Notamacropus eugenii: one gene and its partner. The protein of the gene in region 1 interacts with the protein of each later gene in a biochemical or structural test. Links are inferred from orthologs where the notes say so. Each region holds a gene or a part of one and is shown on either strand. Other genes may lie near its edges.

Region 1 (10,451 bases):
GAAAGAGCACACAAGGTGGCCTCCCTCCAAGATCCCTTCCACTCCTAATAGCCCACGTACTTCCGTTTCCCTTTTAGGTTTCCTGCCTTTATTTTGGTGGACAGACAGGATGCTGGAACACAGGAAGACAGAAAAGGATAGGGCAGAGAGCTACGGGGCAGCCTTCAGAGCAGGGCTTTTCATCTTTCTGTGTCGCTGACACCTTTGGCAGCAAATGATGAAGTCTATGGATCAATTCTCAAAATCATGTTTTCAAATGTATAAAACAATGCATAGGATTACAAACAGAACCAATTACAGCAAAATACAGTTATCCAAGTATTCAACAAATCCACAGATGCCCAGTGAAAAACTCTTGCGTTAGCAGAATCATCTCAATATGCAGTAAATTTTTAGGATTTAATTTCAGGTGTTCATATATAGTTTCATCATTTTTTAGCTACTAAAAGCACATTGGAAATGAAATAATTTAGTCCTTTAGCCTATGTTTTGTTCATATTATACTATAAGAATTGGGAAGTAGCAAAGACTTTTTCTCCCCTTCTCTGTGGCACAGGCTAGTTTGGGGCTACAATCACAAACAAAAGGGATCAAAGAATGTCAGAGTGCTATAGAGATGATTTCTCCCCTGGTTACACACACGCGGTGGAAGGGAGGGGCAGGAATGGTAGGACTCTGATAAGCCCAGTTGCTATACTTCTTGTATATACACGAAAAGTTGTGCCCACAACTTCCTCTATCTGCAAAGGCAGATTTTAATATCCCAGACCTCAAACCAAAACTGTTCTACAGAATCCAGATCCAAGATAACTGACTAATATCTGTTTAGTAAAATGCATTGTCCAGCACTTAATACTTTCTATCATATGATGAGACTGATGGAAATGAGTGTTTCACTTTTTATCAAATTCAGTGGAAAGGAACACCATCACTGTGGACACTTGGACAGCTGACTGTCCTAGCTATTTCTAACTCAGCTTCTTTCTGTGTCCCAGACAGACAAGAGGTTGCTTCTAGTCTCATCTGAAATATTGGCACTTTTTTTCCCAGCACAGTCGTCCTTGAATTGGTTTTAGTTCTTTGCTACTTTAAAACAATGAGCCTCGAGCAATGTGACCTTCTAGACTGGGATTCTTTCAAATATGGAGGTGTTTCTAAACCCCTGTCCAGCTTTGCCTTTATTTCTCCTTCATTATCACCATCTACTCTTTCAAAGGGATGTATCTTCTGGTTGCTGAGATTTTCTCCCTGGGATTCTCAGCTATTCATTTCATCCTCTTTTATTTTCCCTCTTCATTGAAATGACAATGATCTGCAGGCCAAGTGTAACGTCTGTTTATATTTACCTCACCTGCTGCTGTTAACAAATGAAGAAGGAAGGAGGAAACTTCCCAAGTACAACAGGCAACAGATGAAATACCTACAAATTCCTAGGAGACAAAAAATCAAGAAAAGGGGCCAGTGATAAAATCCCTGTCTGCACATCTCACCAAATCCCAACTACTTACTGGGAAACTGATCTTCCACTTTAAGTAGGGATTGGGAGAGTGTCTAGAGAGAGCACTACCAATGAATAAGAAAGCCAGCGCACCACAGGCACTTATTTAGGAAGCCAGAAACTGAAAAGGACCAGTTGTATAGGCAAAAAGAGAAATGGAAAATGAGAAAAGAGACAATGTCCAAGAGGTGGTCAGCTGTATGAAGTACAATTAAGGACAACGGGGACTAAGAAAACATCACTGGATCAAGCAATTCATCCATCAGTGATATAAATCCTGGAAAGTGCAATTTCAGTCAGGGAGGAATCAGAAGCCAGATTGCAGGAGGCTAAAGATTCGGCAATAAGGAAGTAAAGACAATGAGGGTAGATGATTTTTTTTTTCTGATTGTGGGATAGAGATAGTGAAAGAGCAGAGATAAAGGACAATTGCTTGAGGGAACAGCAGGGTCAAGTGAAGGGTTTTTTTCAGCCCTAATTAGATCTGACCTTTCTATAGCTAGTGAAGGTGTGGAAGTAAATTGAGGGACTGAAAGTGCATGATCAATCGATGAATATTTACTAAATACCAGATATGTACTAGGTACTGTGTTAGGTGCTGCAGACTTTACATTGTATTGGAGAGACAGACGGAAAGATATAGATAGACAGACAGATAGATAGATAGACAAACGGACAGACAGACAGACAGATAGACAGATATAGATTTAGATAACACACAGAGACAGAGAGAGAATGGTACTCAGTTCACGGCTAGAAGGTTTGGTCCTCAGAAGAAGGCCACTACTTCCTAGGACACTGGTGTAAGAAAAGAAAGGATAAGAATGGTTGTAGAAGATGTGGGGCTAGAGATGTAGGAGTTCACAATGAATGATCTTGATTTCGTCATTAAAGTAGGAGAGGTGAGGATGATGGGGGAGGATGATAGCTCTGGGACTTTCAGAAAACGGGAAGTTTCTAAATGAAGACTCAGGGAATGGGATCAATCAATTGAGGATGAATAAAAGTTTTGCCACTTGGTTGGGAAGGTGCTGTTGACTTCAGGTGACCTCAGTCTATGGTGGAGTCAATCAGTTGTTGTTCAGTCATGTCAAACACTTCCTGACCCTATTTGGGGTTTTCTTGGCAAAGATAATGGAGTGGTTTGCCATTTCCTTCTCTGGCTCATTTTAGATGAGGAAGCTGAGACAAACAGGATTAAGTGACTTAGCCAGGGTCATACAGCTAATATGTGTCCAAGGCTGGATTTGAATTTATGGACTCCTGGCCTGGTGCTCTATGCACTATGGTGTTATCTAGTTGCCCAGAGTCAAACAGTATGATTTGGGCTATGTTCAACAGCAGTAGGTAGAATGTGTTCAAAAGAGAAGGCATATGGTGGAGGTAAGGACTAGCAGTGAAAAAGAATGACTGATGGTATTGAATTTGTCAAGAAACTGGTGAGAGGAAAGTGAGGCCAGAGCAGGGCTACTGAACCAGGAGAATAAGGTAGGGGAGGGAACAGGGTTGTAGTGAAGGTGAAGAAGTTTAGGAGGAATGAGGAGAGATGAAAAGATAGACAACGTAGATGAACTAAAAGAAATGGTTAGAATTTTAGAATAGCAACAATGGAGAAGAAATAAAGCCTAATTCTATCTAAATCTCTAATTTTCAAAGATGGAAAGGTAATTTTAATGTTGCAGGGGATTTCCAATAAGGAAATTCCATCTACTAATGCAGATGAGCCACTTGTGGAGAGTTGTCTGGAAATGAGAGTTTCAAGGCCTGGTGCAGGGTCATATAATAGAACAAATCTGAGATGGAATGTGAACCCATGTCTTCTGGATACTAAGGCTACCTCTCACAAATCATTTTCTTTTGGGTATAGACATGCCTATGAATAATAATAGGTTCCAAAGATTCATTATCAATTCAATTCTTTGTTATCTTTAGATATGGACTATTATATATACATTTTATATTATTCTATACAAATATGAATAGTACTTTTATTAATATAACATCATTTAAAAAAGGGATATTCTTTAAAATTCTTTAACAGCCATTAAAAAGGATGCTGTAGGCAAGGGAGCAAGCATTTATTAGGTGCCTACTATGTGTCAGGTACTATGTTAATAAGCACTTTACAAATATTAGAACAGAGGTTCTTAGACCAGGGCCCATTATTTCAAAAATAAATATTGATAACTGTATTACAGTATAATTGGCTTCTTTGTAATCCTATGGATTTTATTTTATGCATTTAAAAATATCCCTAAGAAGGGGCTCATGGGCTTCATCAGACTGACTGCCCCAAGGGGTCCATGGCACGTGGGCCAAAAAGGCTCAGAACCCCCTGCAAAAACAACAGTCTGACAAGACCATGCAAATGCTTTCAAGGAAATATGATAGCAGTTGATAGCGGTGAATCTTACATGATAACCCTTAACTCTTGACTAAAGTTATATTTACTAATAGGTGATGAAGCGTTTTTGAATATAATCAAAATGATATTCATCCAAAAAACCCAGACTAAGTTTTTGAACAAAAGCCTTGATGTCTTCTCTTGGTAAGTGCCCAAATTCAGTCATGCTCCAGGGGATTAGTGCTCATTATTAATATGTCCTTTCATTAATACCTTTCATCCAAGAACCTCAAAGGGCTTTTCAAACATTAATTTGTTATGTCTCATAACATCCCTGTGAGGCAGGGCAGTAGAAAGTTATCATTATCCCAGTTGTACATCAAGAGAATCTAGGGCACAGAAAGGGTCAAAGAGTGGGGAAAGAAAAGTGGGGCCAAGCTCTGCTTTATTTTCTCCTCTATAGCAGGGGCACGACGGTCAATGCCGCATTTTGGCTGTGATGTGACTTTTTGAAGCCACCTCGTGGTGCGTGAGGCGGGCCCGGATCCACTCGCAGCTCCCTGGGGACACGGATTCGGATCCCATCATCACGCATCACGCCATCAATCCACACGGACAGATCCATGCTCCCAAGGCTGGGCCGCGCTGACCCAGCCACGTGTACTTCCCAAGCTGGTTACTGTTGCAGAAGAGGTAGCGGGCCGGCCACCTGCCTCCAATCAGAGTCCAGGGCGGGTCATGGCGTCACCTCTGACGTCATGGTCTCATCCCTAGGGCCGATGACTTCAGAAGGCATTCAAGCATTAAGCGGTGCAGGACCCGGACCGTGCGCTTCCTCACGCAGTGACCCGGTAGCTGCTTAGAAAAGAGAGACAACCGAGCTCCAGTCCTGCCACTCCACCGGGGCCCAGGGCTCTCCCCTGCCCCTCAGGGGGCTCCCTCCTGGTCGGGAAGTCCTTCGGAAATCCTGGAGTCCAGCCCTAGCCCTCTCTGGAGGCCGAGGGCAGGGAAGGAGGTTCACAGGCTCCCCTGGGCGGCCCAGGAGGGAGGGGGGCGCAGCGGACCGGGGGTCCCTGGCCCCCCCGTACCAGGGCGCTGGGCTTGCGGCTCCCGAGGAGCTTTATTCAAGTGACTTATCCTCCGGGGAGTTCGGACAAGCCCTCTCCCTTCTCTGGGCCTCAGTTTCCTCGTCCATCAGGTCCCTGATCTCGCGATCTTACAGCCCCGCCCCCAGGGGGCCTCAGAGAGGGGCCAGGAAGCGCATGCGCGACTAGGGCCCGGGGCCCTCGACCGACCATTGCTGCCCCCCCCCCCCCCCCAAGCCCCGCTCGGGTTCCGCTCCTCGGCGGGGAACTCTCAGAGTTTTCGGGGCCTCATGTTCCACCTCGCCGGAGGAGGATGGGAGGACCCGATCTTTACGGCCCAAGCCAGAGCACAACCCACGACGGGAAACCTCTCGACGCCCAACATGGCGAGGTCCCCCCCCCCCCCCCCCCCCCCAGGGAGCACGAGCCCTACGTCGACGAGGAGGCCCGGACGTCGGTGACGTCATCATCCGGGAATCTCGGCTGGGATTTTGGCGGCGTGCCCGCCGGGGGAACAGCGCTGACGTCACCGCCGCGCAGGAGGAGGGCGGGGCTGCCCGAAGGGCCAGGACGCTCGCACCTGCGCAGACGGGACCGGCGCTCCACCCCCTCCCCCCAACGTTCCCTCCCCACCGCGGGCGGGGCGAGGAGCAGGGTTTCCCATCATTGTTCTCTAGCGGGGCCTGGGTCCTGCTCCTGGTTTTGGGCGTGCTCTTCGCCGGAAGTAGCTCCCCAGCTAGGGGCCCCCTCCCCGGGTGGTGCGACCCCGGCCCCCGTGCCCCGGAAGTGATCGGCAGCGGCGGCGGCGGCGGCGGCGGCGGCTGCCAGGAGGAGTCCCGAGCTGTCCGGCCCGGTCCCGGCCCCGCGGCGGCGGCGGCCTCAGCCTCGCCCCGGCCGGCCGTGCGTGCGTGCCCGCCTCCGCTCCCCGGCCGGCTGCAGGTGAGCGTGGGCTCGCGGGGCGGTGGGTGTGTCCGGGCCGGGCGGGCCAGGCCTCGGGAGCGCGGCCCGAAGGTCACCCCGCCCGCGCTGGGGCATCCATTAGGCGCCAGCTGTGTGCCGCGCTCAGGGTGGGGGCGGGGGAGGAACGGGGCGCCCCTCCTGCGGGGGTGGAGAGGAGAGCCTCCGCATCACCCATCCATTAGGCGCCTGCTGTGTGCCGGGCGGGGGGAGGGGCGGGGGAGAGCCGCAGCATCACCCATCCATTAGGCGCCTGCTGTGTGCCGGGCTGGGGAGGGGAAGAAAGGCGCGCCCCCTTTTTGGTTCCTGCTGTGTGCCGAGCCCCGAGGGGAACCACCCCTCGAGGAGGGTTTTGGAGAACCGCAGCTTCCATTAGGCGCCTACGGTGTACCAGGCTCCTGGGGTGCCGAGGAGGAAAGGGGCGCCCCTCCTTTCGGCAGGGTGGGGGAGAATCGCCTGCAGTGTACCGCGCGGTGGGGGGACCGAGGAGAGGAGGGGCGCCGCTCCTGTGAGCACCTGCTGTGTGCCAGGGCCCGGGGGCGGGGCGGGAGGAAAGAGCCGATCCTTGATGTGGGGTGTCCCCGTCCAGTGGGGACTCCTTTGGGAGGAGGAGCAGGGTTCGAGTGTGGCCCCTGGACCCCTGGGCCCGCCCTGGCCGAGCGTACCTCGGCTCGGTCACTCCTATTCCCTAGGCTCGCTTCCCACGTCCGGGGAATCCCGTATAAAGCGTCTAGACGGCCGTCCTGCCCTGGGGAAGTCCCGCGGGCGCCCCACCTGGGGGGCTTCGGGGTGCGGCAGCCCCACCTAATGCGGACCGAGCCGCTGAGGTGGGGGAAGGGCGAGCTCGGGAGGCCGGGCCGGGCTGGAGCCTCCTCGGTTGGGGTAGGGGAGCCCGATCCACTTCCAGCCTTCGGAAGGGGTTTTCAGATTGTGGGTTTTAGTGGCTTTGGGTGTGGGTGAGCTCTGCTGCTTGTTTTTGATTTGGAGGAAATGGAGGGGGGCGGGGGAGCCACCTGAAGCTCTTAGATAACCTCCCTGGGCTAGAGAAAGGTGGAAGCTTTCCGTTTGATTGAGGTGCTTTGGGCCTCAGTTTGTTCATCTGTTGAAGGCCGGAGTTAGACTAGAGAGTCTTCTAAGGGCTCTTCGCTGTCCGAACATAAAACCCAGATTTCTGAGTTCCTCTGTCATCTCCAGTGCCACACCCTAAAATACTTTTCTGGGGTGCTGACATTGCCTTTGTTTTTAACCCAAGGATTTAGTTTCTATGTGTATTTTTTTTTGAAATGGTAACATTTATATTAAGAGTTGAGAGAAAAATTGGCCTGATAGGTTCTTTATTTTATTCCAACTTGTCTGCCACAAATGGTTTTGTTGTTGAGAGTAATTCCTCAGGGAGGCAGGCTGTCATAGTGTAGGGAGAGGATTGGATTTGGAGTCAGGAAAACCTTGGTTCAGATCAGTTTTCTTATTCCTAAAATGGGATGTTAATACCTGGCATAAGTACTTACCTCACACAGGGATGTTAAGTTGCAGTAAATATGATCTCTAAATCCTGTGTGGACCAAAAAAAGATAACGCTTTGTTGGTATTACTTATTGTAAAAGCAATTTAAGGATGTGTGGTTCTAAAAATAATTCAGGAGAAGAACCTCCTGCCAGATCCTTGACTGTATTATATTTCAGGTTAAGATTTATAAATTGTTTCGGCGACTATTGTGTCCTTAACTCTATGATTATAATTAAATTGTGAAAAAGAAACGATGCTACATTTATCTTCTCAGTAAATTGAATATAAAACATTGTAAGTATTCCCATGACTCTCCAAACTGTAAACTGAATTTTGTATTACAAGTGTGCCAGAGAGTGATGCTCTTATTGTCTGGGTGCACGGACGTCACTCCCGACAGTCATTTATTCCTTTGGCGAATTATCTTCCGTTCAGTTATCGCGCTTGAACCACTTTGAATTTTGGGAGGGAGGGAGCGATTTTCCTTTGTGGCTTGGAGTTCAGCCTACTAAAAGAGGACAAAAGTCTGAGAAATAGAGCTTTTTAAAATTTCAGAAAGGAAACTCAGAGATCTTTGACTTCTTTAGTACTGGTGCTCAGTTGTGGTCATTGGTTGATGTCCTTCCTTCTCAAAAAAGACCAAATTGTTATCAGTACAGTATGTCTGTACTGTACCTGTGGCGGATCAGACCGATGCGGGCTCGGAAGGCTCCACCACAGCTTGGTCACCAAGAATCCACATGAGTATTGGGAGTGAAAATATCTCTGAATTTGTGTATCTCACACTGCTTTGGGGCTGCTGCAGTTCTGCTTTGCTCATAGAGCACAGCACCTTCTTTGCTGTGGGCATACTATACTGGGCAGTCCTGTGCCGGTGTCTCCCGTGAGAGACCTCCAGAGTGTCCTTGTGTTTCTTCTTCTGACCTCCATGTGAGTGTTTGCCTTGTGAGTCTTCTAGGCCTACGTATATATAATTATTGGAACAATGTAGCCACCCTGTCAGGGTTGAACTCTCTGCCAGAGAGTTTGAATGCTTGACAGTTTAGTTCAAGAAAGGACCTTGTACCTTATCTTACCAGATGATCTTCAGAATTTTCCTGTGACAATCAAAGCTGTTTAGAAACACATAATAAGGGTTTGGGGATCATGGCTTAAAAATATAGGAATGATAGTCTCCTGACTAGGACTAGGGTATATAAATTCTAGAAAAAAAGATTTTCATCAGTTGTTATAAGTGAAATGAAAAGGGCAGGTGAAAACTACCAACCTCTCTCTAAGCAGCGACCCCTCGAGGGTGATTATAGAGTAGGAAGAGTGGCCACAGACACACTTAGTGCTTTACAGGAGAGACCCAGGCAGTAAAGACCAGCCCCAAGCCTGCCTATGTGGTCACGTCCTCAAAACCTGCAGTGGGGCAGACCTCGTGCCGAAGCACCAGACTTGCTCCTTGAGTTCAGCTAAACTGATGATTTCCAAAGAAACAGAGTGGGTCAGAAGTGTGCTGGCAATACATACCTTTGGAGAGACACAGGGACCCGAGCTTTGGGGTACACAGGAAGGGAACTGAGAGAGTGTGAGTGTGGCCTGGAGACCACTTAGGTAAAAGGAAGAAGAGGGCAAACAGAATGTAGCCCTGGCATGACAGCATCGATCAGAATAACCAGCAAGCATTGGGTGAGGTGTTGGGGATTCAGAGACAAAAGAAAACTAGACCTGCCAGCAAAGAGCTGGGTGGGTTGGGGTGAATGACCCACGAAAAAGCTGAGCTTTGAGGAGTATTTTTAGAGCAGAAGAATGGAGGAGGGAGGAAGAGTTATTGAAGGGAAGGGCCTCCGAGGCCTTGGGAGTCTCCCATACAAAAAGGGTGATGAAGGGCAGCCATAAGATCCATTTGACTGAACAGTGACACCCAGTGGAACATGCTGCGCCTGTGCAGGTAAGTGGCAACAAGGGAGCGAAGGACTTTGGGACACCCAGCTGAGGAGGTGGTGTTTGATCCTAGGGGTTATTGGGAACTGTTCACTCTCAGATGCACAAAAACGTTTCAGACCCAGTCCTATCTGCCTTGCCCTGACTAGCATTGCCTGTCCAGCTCACTTGCAGCTGAAACCTGTGTTGGGGCCCCCAGTAGTGTGGGAGTAACTCAAGAGTTGGTGCCATCTTTTCTGTTGGGGAGTAGGCATTTCATAAATACTTTTTCATTGTAGAGGACTTCATCTAGACATTTGGAACTGTTCCTCTGCCAAAATAACCGGAGGCGATAAAGTATTGTCCTGACTTAATTATCAAACTATCCTGGTGGTTTAGGAAATGATTAGGGAGGCTGGACTGCTTTCCTGGACTAAATGAATTCAGACCAAAAAGAAGAGAGCTCGAAACCAGTACCTTTGTGGTACTGATAGCAAAGAAGAGGAAAGCTCTATGTAGGCTTCCATAGCAAACATTGAGTACAGCAAATTTCAAGTGGGTTCAGAGAAAATCCCATGACCTAAAGTTCTTGAGGACAACAGAACCCAGTGAGGAGTAGGGTGGTGCTCTGAGAAAGGAGATTCTGAGGAGAGAAGTGAAACAGTTGGAGTGAGGAGCTCTCAGGAATCATCCATCTCAACTCAGATTTGATTTGATTTTTGTACTAACTTTATTAATACTTTTTGTTTTTAAGGAGAGCAACTAGACCTGATTTCACTCCTGTAAGTAGATGGTGTCAAAAGCTCCCAAGGGCAGCTGGACCAGATTAAAATGTAATTGGGAAATAGTTAACAAATTAAAATATAATAAAACACATTTAATATTAATATATGATTTCTTTAGTTAGTTTATATGGCTGCTTTTCTCTGAGTCTGATACCTGTGGTATAGATCTTACCCTGGTGAGGAAAATCCCACTGTTAGTGCCTCCTGGGACCTTCTCTGCAACTTAGATTCTTAAAGAATGTCTTTGAGACATTGAGGGGCCACATCCCAAGTCCGACCCCTCTGCATCAGTTTTTTCCCATATACCTTTCCCTACTTCTTCCCCCGCCCCATCCATCTAGTGATGCACCCCTATAGCAGAACCTACT
Region 2 (10,458 bases), on another chromosome or scaffold:
TGTATTATGTTAGTTGGGATATTTATAGGGGCATGAGAAGCCTTGATATTTGTGATATCTCAAGCTGGAAGGGAAGCATTATAGAACCTTAAAGACAGTTAAACTTGGATTCAAATTTCACTTCTAATTCATAGTGTCTGCACACTGGGCAGATCATTTAAACATTCTGCAGCTAGGTTGCCCAACGGATAGAGCACAGGGTCTAAAGATAGGAAGACCTGGGCTCAAATTCAATCTCAGACACTTGGTAGCTGTGTGACCCTGGGCTTCAGTTTCCTCAACTGTAAAATGGGAATAATAATAGAATCCACCTCCCAAGATCATATAAGGATGACATAAGAAAATATTTGTAAAGCACAATACCTGGCATGTAGTAGGCACTTAATAAATTCTTATTTCCTTCTCCTTCTTACTTAGCCTCTTCTAAAACTCTAGGCAGCTCTTTAAAAACCATAAAGTACAAAGAAAGTACAGACTTGAATTATTTTAAGGAATTTCCTCACCTAGGTGCTCCCTATCTATATTAATGAAATTGTGAGTCTGGTTCACAATGCAAGATAGCATTGTTTCCGTTTTTAATCTTTTCCATTAAACTATGCTTTGCTAGTTTCATAGCTTAAACTATTTTTAGCAAGGTTGTTATTTTCTTTACTATATTCCTAATGGCTAAGTACAGTGTTAAAAAATAAGAAAAATATATCTTCCTTGCAAATAGATATAGATAAAAATTGATCCTTGTGGAGTTACTCCTTCCCCACCCCTACACCATCCTGAGTACAGTAAAAAAAAAAAAAACTAAACTAAAAAATTAAACAAACAAAAAACCCTGTCCTCTTCCTTCTCTCTTTTAATAGAGAATCAGAATATAATTTTAAATGTGTACAGAGAATTAATTCATACCTAATTTGGAGTTATAGCAAAAAGAAAACTGTCCTAAAATTTCATAGCCTTTCAATAAGAATAAAAATTTAAATTTTGACAGCAAAAGTGGTATTAATAAGGATGATGGGCTATTGTTATCCATATAAAATAAAATGGAAAATGGGCAATGGCACAAAGGAAAACACAAACATGAAGTATCTTTGCAAATGTGTCTCTCTGAGACATCCTGACTTAAAACACAAAACTGAAGTGGATATAAAATACTAAGGAGTAGAAATATCAGTCCATGTATCAGTTTTGTACAGCTGTCAACAAGGTATAAACATATGACAACTCATCTTACGTGAATCGGTTATCTAAAACATGTAAACCAAACAATGCAAGATAAAGGAGATTCTTCAAATTTCTTGCCCCACCCCTATGAAGAAAAATTTTATCCTCAATAAAATAATACAACTTGAAAGAGACTGTAAAAGTACATGTCTCATGGACACTATAACTAAGAAATTTTAAAAAAAAACCTCTCTTAGAGAGCATCGGACCTCCTTATCTGACTATGCAAGAGAAGTATATATGGCAAACTGCCTGCTTCCTTCATGCTCAGGAGAGACACATTTCAGTCCCTGTAGTTAGCAAGCCCAATCACTTTCTAACATGGTTCTCCAGTTACAGACTCCAGTAATAATCTTAAGAATTGTCAAAAGCAGAATACCAGTTAACAATCTTCTTACAATGAGTGGCTGACTCACAGAAGAAAAATGTGTTATTTTTTTAAAAATTAGAATGCCATAGTCAGCATTATTCTTTATATACAAGTGACTGTATCAACATACAGAAGGAATAAGGGAGTAAGGGGAAAAATAAATCTTTGAAATATGGCTGAAGAGATGGGGTGATGTAAGCTGAGTTATACAGATTGAATAGGTGATAAAACACAAAAGGACCCTAAAAATTCAAATGCCTCTTCCATCTTTCTCTTCTCTATCTACTACCAAAGAAGTCTAATTCCTTTTGTAACCTCCGTGTGAGCCTTACTCCCATTCAGACGCTTCTTTGAAATCTTAACATGCAAATTCAGCTCCAACTTTTAACTTCTGCTTGATAGTGGGGAGGAAGGGGGATGCGGAATATCCACTGGTTATGTGTCAAAATTCAAAACAAGGCATCATAAGAGGATCTTTTGAAGAGAAGGGAGATTTAGCTAGGGGTATACCTTAATCCATCACTAATTCTAGGGCAGATGAGTGATGTAGACGTATGAAATATCAAGTTATTAAAGTTAAGATTTAAAAGAAAGAACAACAGGTTTTTCCCATGTTCTGTGCAGAAACAATATAGTTATAGTCTTCATGCTGTCCTCATTTCCTCTTCTCCTCCTTTCCATGATTTCTCAGGGTGTTTCTCAGTAGTTAGCTAACTGTTAAATCTGATCCTGAGTTACCTGCTGTCAGGCAGTCCTCGTACTGTGACCTCATTTACCTCCCTAGGAGTCGAGTTAAAATTAATGTCAAAGAATGTAAATTCCAGGATGGAAAAAGGAAGAGGATAAAAGTATGAGGATGACATTTAAAATAAAAGAATAAGGAGTACTGCAAACATTTCTCCATAAAATGAAGTATGTGATTTACCTTCTCTGCACCTTGGGAATGGACTCCCTGAGGAAGGAATGAGTTCTTTATTACTAGAGCTCTTTCAATGGAAAATAGGTGACCCTTCATTTGGAATAGGGTAGAGGGGATTCCTAGCTAGGGACCAATTGAACCAGATTACATTTCTCTGGAGTTCTCCCAATGTAGAAGAGATGACCATTCATCTGGATAGCATAGAGAGGATTCCTACTCAGGGACAAGTTAAAACAAAAGGTCTCTTAGTATTTGAGTCATAATGAGGTTAAATTCTTAGGATCACAGATTCAGAGCTAGCAGGGACCTTAGAGATCCTCTAGTCTCTCTCCTTTTTCAGAGGAAGAAACTAAAGCTCCGAGAGGTAAAGGGACTTGCCCAACACCACACAGGTTTAATGACAGAACTGAGATTTGAATCCTACTTCTCTAATACCAAATCTAATATTCATACCACGTTGCTTCCCAAACTCCAATGTTTCTTCCAACTGATATTGAGGAATTATATTATTCTATTTCAGTGCAATGGAAGTGATCACATTTGCCATTAGAACATATGTGACTACTTTTAGAAAACTTTTCAAGACCTGAAGACTAATTTAATCTTTTAAATAATGGTAGCAATAAAAAAACAGTAGGAGATCATCACAACCCAGACTAACATAGTTTTATTTTTTTTTATAAAGCCACCTTTTCTGAGTTAGTTTTATTACCATTAGAGAGAAGTCAGAGACATAATTAATTTTTACATTATTTTGAGTAAAGTTAAGGAAGAGCACTTCATTTTTATAATCATCATTTTGTAGGTAAATAAAGTGAATGCTTATGTTATTGAGAAAGAGTGAGTATTTATCTACAAAATGTTTCTGACTGAGAAACATTAGAATTTCCTTCAAGAAAAATGAGTGGTCAAATGTCACAAAGCAGTAAGAAACCACAATGTCCTGTTACTAATAATTAAGAAAGTGTGTAAGTCTCACAAGAGAAAGTTGTAAGGTTTTGGTATCATATAAAAACTATATAGCCTTTAACTCTTATTTTTATTCATCAGATATCTTGAAGGAATAATGCTCTGATGAACTAAAATTGTTTCAATTCATAATTTATTAAACTGTTCTTCAGAATGTGGAAGGTAGATTTAACAAAACAATTGAATTACTTGGTAGGTGCTGCCATTTTTCAAGTATCAAGAAAAGATTCTGAAGGGTACAAACCTCATTTAAATTTTAAGAAGGACCATGTTTTTAGGTTTCCTGAAGAAATGACAACAATGTATATTAGAAGTATAGATGTTAGATATTCTGGATACATGCATATATATTTCTTCCAACATTAATTGGTCCACATTGAAAACATTAAAAATGCTTAATTTTTGAAAGGTGATTAAAATGTACACTTTTACAGAAGGGACCTATATTAGAGAATACTTTAGCCACAGCAACCACCTTTTCTGGCTTAGCATGGTTTTTCCTCATGTAAATAATGCTTATGTAATTGTAGCCATAAAAATAATCTAGCACATTGTACTGTTTTTGGTTTAGCTCAAAAATGCACTATTTTAAAGATGATACAGTATGCTCGAAAACAGGTATTATAGACAAAGTCTTCGGTGATCCCAATGCTGTTCTCTCACTTCTGAATTATTTTGTTTTTTCTCCCTTATGATACTAGTACATGGGAGTTCTGATTACAAATATTTATTGTAGGAGTAAAAAAGTAGTTTATTTACAAAGCAAATTAAATGTACTTTTTGGAGTTAGTTTCTTAGTTGAAAAAGAATACTGAATGAAGGGTAGGTATATGTCTAGTATCCTATCTTCAAACAGGTTAATTTGATTTTGACTGAAAGGATATATGTAAAGACAGAATGAGTGCCTTACCTACACATAATAAGAGTAATAGGTGCACATAGTAAGACTTGCACATAGTAGGAGCTTAATGAATACTGTTTTTTAAAAAAATATTTTAAAAATATTTTTATTTTATTTTACTTTAAAATGTTGCATTTGAACTGTCACAGTCAGTACATGGATGAGTGATATTTTTGACTGAGCTCATGAAAATGTAGTTAAATATTTTCAGTTGTACAAAATAAATGAACTTTTTTTGTGTGTATGTGAGTATTGTTTAGAAAAACACTGCCTCTGGGTCAGCTGTGCACAGATTCCTTGGACAGGTCTTTAAAGGAAAGAAGTATTTTGTTACAAGCCAAGAAAGGAAAGCAATGTGAGATTTCTAAATGCTATTGAAGATCGTTTAAAAATGCAAAAGGCTCTCGGATCTGTTTGATGTGGAGAAGTTGACTGGACTTGTTCAGGAAGAACATTCAAAATGCTTTGTGCATTAATTTATGTCTTATTTCTCTTAAAGTATGCCAAAAATCATTTGGGGGCAGGCACAAGTACAGCAATGCATTTCATTCTCTTTTTTTACTTTCAATGATAAATGTTTTTTACTTTACAATATGCCGTTTCTGTCCTACAGTTACACTTATTGAGTGAATTACTGCCAAATTCAGTCAATAGTTACTGGTCCATGTTTGTTTAAAGCAAAAGTTTAAAAAAGCTGAAAAGTCTTTTAACTTTTTTCACTGGCTATTAGTCAGTTTTATGTTATATTACAGTATCACTAGTCATTTTTCATTAATCAGTGGCGTAGGGCTTATTCTTACAAATAAGCTAGTAAAATAATACGGAAAAATGACTGAAATTCTAATTCAAATTAAAATCTTCTAAACTAAAAAAAAAAAATTCCTCTAAATATGTTTTTCTAGGAAAGCAAATACAGCCAACCCCAAATCTAGTATCACTGCTGAAGACATTGCAAGAGGTATTTTAAAATACAGAAGATACATAAAAGTACAAAAGCAATTTGAGGACTTTTTATTATGCAAACGAAACATGAATTAAAAGCGTATAAATTTCTAGGATGTGATCATAATGACATAATTAGAAAGGAATTTTTAATTTGTTCTAAACTGAAACTCTAAGAGAAATCCTTACAGTGTTAGAGAGTTGGAAAATTATTACTTAGGAAGAAGAACTTTTAAAAATGTTTTCAGGAAAGAAAGCCAGTTAGCAATCCATCAGCTCTTAAATATATTATTCCTGTCAGCATATTCATTTGGTTTTGTTAGCAGATTGAATATGCATCATGTTCAATATACTTAAAATGCAACAACTATGCAAATTAGCATGGCCCCACACATTCAGGATCTGAAAGAAATCAGTCCCAGCATAAATGAAATTACTCTGTGGACAAGTAGGAATGCAATGAAAAATTGAAAATCCAGCCCACATACTTAGGGCACCTTTCCCCCAGTAGAGTTATTTCACAATAAGACTACCATGTGATTTTCATTTTTCTCTCTTTCACATTTTCTGGCATGAGGTTGAGGAGAGAGGGTGAAGGTGGGAATGACATGACACAGTGGATTGAGTCTGGGCATGGGCCTGGAATCAGGAAGACCTGGGTTCAAATTTGGCCTCAGAAAACTTCCTAGCTGCATGATCCTGGGTAAGTTACTTAACTTCTGTTTGTTTCAGTTTCCTCCATTATAAAATGGGAATAATAACAGTACCTATCTTGCAGGATTGTTATAAGGATCAGATGAGATAACTGCAAAAAGAATTTAGCACAGTACCTGGCACAGAGTAGATGCTATATAAATGCTTTTTTCCTGCCCCTTCTTCATCCTTATGATTTGAAATCAGAGAAAAGTGGTATGACTGGGGGCAGGTACAGGGGAGTACAGAGAAACGAATGATGGGGAGATACTTGAGGAAAGAGAAGGAGAAACTGTGGAGACACAGGGCAGCCAGAACGCTCCTTTTGGATTGAGATGAATGTTGAAGTTTGTGGTTTTTTTTAAAAAAATTGATTGCTATGTATTAGATACTTTTATGAAATCAAGCATTAAGATCCCCTATACACCAAGATGCTTGCTTCATGTGTAACCTTGGACAAATCTTTTAACCTCCCTGGGCCTCAGTTTATCTAGCTTTAAAATGAAATGGGTTGGATTTGAAGACTTCTAAGTTGATTTTCACAAATAAAATCCTTCAATACAAAAGCTTTCAGCTTAAGAGCTGGAAGATTTGTGTGATCTGCTACCAGCGAGATATTAAGAGTAAAAGGCATGGTGGGTAAGATCAATGCTACACATATATTAGGGGTCATATCAGATGATTGGAGAAAATCGGCCACTCAGTCAAAACTTGGTAAAAAGAATAGCTTGCTAAAATATACATTAATAGGATCTCAGATTCTAAAGTTCATCCTCCGCATTTGTAGATAAGAATGCTAAATCCCAGAGAAGTGGCTTACTCAAAACTGCACAGCTCTTGGTCAGTTCTCCTGAATTTCTGCTCAGTGCTATTTCCATGACAGCACAGTTATTTTTATATGTATGGGCTGGTTTGGGGCTCCTTATTCCCTTCCCTGTGGCTCTTTGGCTGTTTCATAGCTCTAATTTCACCCAAGGGTGAAGAAAAGCAGGAGAAAAAAGGGATGCTCTCCAAGGCAATCTATTGTGCTGTGCTTGCCGTTTCAGCAAAAGGTTATGGTTAGGAGAAAAGTTGAATCTGTTGGCTAAAATGAGGTACTGGAAATGATCTGTGGATTTTAATTATTCATGCATTCCTCATTCCCCTGTTGCCATGACTAATCTGAAGTTTGTGGTAAGCTGTCCTGGCTGGGTCACGTGAGAATGGACGCAGCAGAAAACTTGAACATCTGCTTGAAAGTGAACTGAAGGAAGGCTCTTGTGAACAGGGTGGACAGACAAAGTATTTCAAGAAAGCATAGCCTGAAGCGATATCATTACACTGTGAACAGCTGGGATGCAACTGGAGGCCAGAGGACAAGCTGCCATGCTTCCATCTGACATGGAGGTGGAGCTTCCTCAATTATCTTAGCTGCTATCATATTGGATACTTATTAGGTGCATGTCTCTGTGTCCACTCCTTAGAAGAATTCAGTGGAACACCGAAGTGGTGAGGAGCCTACCTTCTGAGAACTTCTAGTCCTTTACTGTTTTCATGCAAAGCAAAGTGCTAAAAGGAAGAATTAAAAAAAAAAAACTGGGCTAAAATTTGCACTACTTTGGGTTGAGGTGACGAGGGATCAGTGGGTCTGACATCAATTTGCCAATGCTGATAAGAACGTGTTTCTGATACCATGGGAAGTGATATCATTAATGTGTGGTCTAAAGTCCTACCAGGACTCAAATGAAAATCTGGAGGCCAGCTAAACATGAAAAACTAAATGGATAAGAATATAAATATCTAAACCTAGATTTGGCAGGTAGTAAAAGAACTTTGTCCACCCTTTTGCTTCTGCTATAATAGGGAGGAGTCAGTGATATTGCTGGACAATTTTCGAATTAAGTGATCTAAATCAATAAAGATGTCCAGCAGTCGCATGAGTGGTTAACATGCATCAGAGGCTATATGCTTGTTTCTGAAATGAATTAATACTGACATTGGAAATTCCTAATTCCAACAACTAACTGGTGAAGTGCATAGATAAGAATGTTGGCCTTGGAGTCAGGAAGTACTGAATTCAAATCCTGACTCAAACGCTTAGTAGCTGTGACATCCCTTCCTCACATTCCCTCTCTACCTCCTCAACTCACATCTTTCTTAACCTCTGTTTATTCATTTATAAACTGAGGATAAAAATAGTATCTACCTTGTAGGGCTGTTGTGAGGTTCAAATGATGTAATATTGTACGGTGCTTTGCAAATCTTAAAGCACCATACAAATATGACCTATTATTTATTATTATTATTTCCCAACTGAAAGTACTCAGGACAAGTACTTTTTGTATTTTTTTAGTAGCAAGAAGAAAAATAGTTTATAGAGTCTTTGTTACTGGTTGAGATCCACCATTTTAGTGGGATCCCAAGTGGGAAGAAGCAATACTTGACATTTATGAAAATACTTTACTATACCATTGCATTTAATCTAACTGCCTGGTACATAATAGGTAGTTAACTTTTTGTTGATTGATGGATTAAAAGGAGCTGGGACTGTCTCAAGCAGGCAATAAGAAGCCCCTAAAGATTTTTGAGTGGTAAAGTAACATTAATAGACCCAAGCAAAAAAAAAAAATTAGTCTGGTAACAATATAAATGATAGAATGGAAAAAGTCTTGGGAGTTTTGGAAGACAAGGAGCCAATGAAGGATAGAGAAAAGGAGTTAGCAAAGTAGGAGAAAAATCTAGAAAATATGTAGTCTGTGAAGCCAAGGGATTAGAGAAAATCCAGTAGGAGGGAGTAGTCATCAGTGACAAGTGCTGCTGAGACAGGTGAGGACTGGAAAAAGTCAGCTGGTTATTAGGTGGTCATTCTTAAACTTTTGGGGGATCACTTCAGCAGAGTTACAAGGAATAATCAGTAAGTCTGAATAAGCATTAATTACACAAACAGTGATAGGCAATGTGCTAAGCTCTGAGGATACCTAGAAGACATTCAACACGGTTCCTGCATTCATGGAGCTTATATTCTAATAGGGGAACTAATATGGAAATAACTGTATAAACAAGAAATATTAAGAAGAAATGGAAGGTTATCTCACAATGAAGGCCTGGGGTTGTTTAGGAGATTGAGGAAGAAAAGGGAGGTGAAGGCCTCCTGCAGGAGATGGGATTTGAGCTGAATCCTGAAAGAAGCAAGGGAAGCTAGGAGCTGGAGGTGAGGTTGGAGAGCACCCAAGGCATAGGGGAAATAGTGAAAAGGTAAGGAGGAGATAAAGTACTCTCTGTGAGAATCCAGTGTTGCTGAATGGTAGAGTGTATAGAGGAAGGTAAAAACATGTGAAGTCCGGAAGGGCAGGAAGGGGTTAGATTTTGAAGGACTTTCATCCTGGTGGAAGTCAGATTGCAAGAAGTTAAGGAGAGAATAAGGGTTGGGATAGGAATGATGTAAGAGCATATGATATAGGCAAATTTCTTCGTTAAGTTTAGTAGTAAAGGAAAGAGATTTTTCATTGGCAACTAAATGAGGTGAAAGGATCAAGGAATTTTTTTTTCAGATTAAAGAGACCTGAGAAAATTTGCAATTTTCTCTTTTTAAGTGAATAATGATTTATTTTTATCATTTCCAATCTTTGCTCTTTTTGTTTGTGGTGTTCTACTAAATAAATATCTTTATAAGGTTTTATTTCATTTTTTATTTCTTTCCTCTTCCTTTTTATTTCTAGCCTACAGTAAGAATTTTCCAAAGATTTGTTTCCATTTGAAGAATGTTTTTACACTTTTAGATTTGGATTTAGAAAATGTAAAATTTTCTTAAAATTTAATTTATTTGTTTTCAATTTTCAACAATCACTTCCATAAGTCTTAAATTTTCTCCTCCTCCCTTTTCCCCTTCCTCCCCAAGATGGCATACAATCTTATATGGGTTATACATATACATTCTTATTAAACACAGAAAATGTAAAATTTTTTTTTGCATGTGGTAATTTATCATTTGCATGCTGGAAGTGATAGAAAACTGAAAATCAAATGTGATTTATTTTTGTTTAGGACTTAGAAATAAGGATTTGGGGAAGGACAATTATCATTAGTCAAAAGGTATTTTCTCCCCTACCTTATATCAAAACTGATTCTGGCAAATTAGTATCACAGGCTTTAGAGACAAGAGGGATTTTGGGGATTATCAAGTCCAACGACCTCATTTTACAGGATGAAAAAGACCCAGAATATGAAGTGACTTCCAAGGTCAGATAGGTAGTAATGAGCAGAACCAGGATTTGAAACTATCTTCTCAGATTGCAAATCCAGTATTCTTTCCATGACCCCATGCCGGTCCAGTATTAAAACCATCCAAGCTATAAATGGTTTGTAATTGGCTCACTAGTTAGCACTGCAGAGTGTATACTGAAGTGTTTATTGAAGTTTTACTAAGTGAAATTGTCCTAAGATTTCATGGCCTTCTAATAAGAATGAAAA

Evidence for each region.
Region 2: the proteins of RALA (region 1) and EXOC2 are reported together in a solved structure, tested with the Homo sapiens proteins (2 studies listed by BioGRID, with this or other methods). The link is inferred for Notamacropus eugenii from reciprocal best matches to the Homo sapiens genes RALA and EXOC2.

The regions. Positions count from the first base shown.
Region 1 is NC_092874.1:480,933,165-480,943,615, forward strand, and holds the start of RALA (ras-related protein Ral-A), read left to right. Parts: upstream 1-5,736; 5' UTR 5,737-5,866; intron 5,867-10,451. UniProt on the Homo sapiens protein: Multifunctional GTPase involved in a variety of cellular processes including gene expression, cell migration, cell proliferation, oncogenic transformation and membrane trafficking.
Region 2 is NC_092875.1:171,538,941-171,549,398, forward strand, and holds the start of EXOC2 (exocyst complex component 2), read left to right. Parts: upstream 1-5,938; 5' UTR 5,939-6,019; intron 6,020-10,458. UniProt on the Homo sapiens protein: Component of the exocyst complex involved in the docking of exocytic vesicles with fusion sites on the plasma membrane.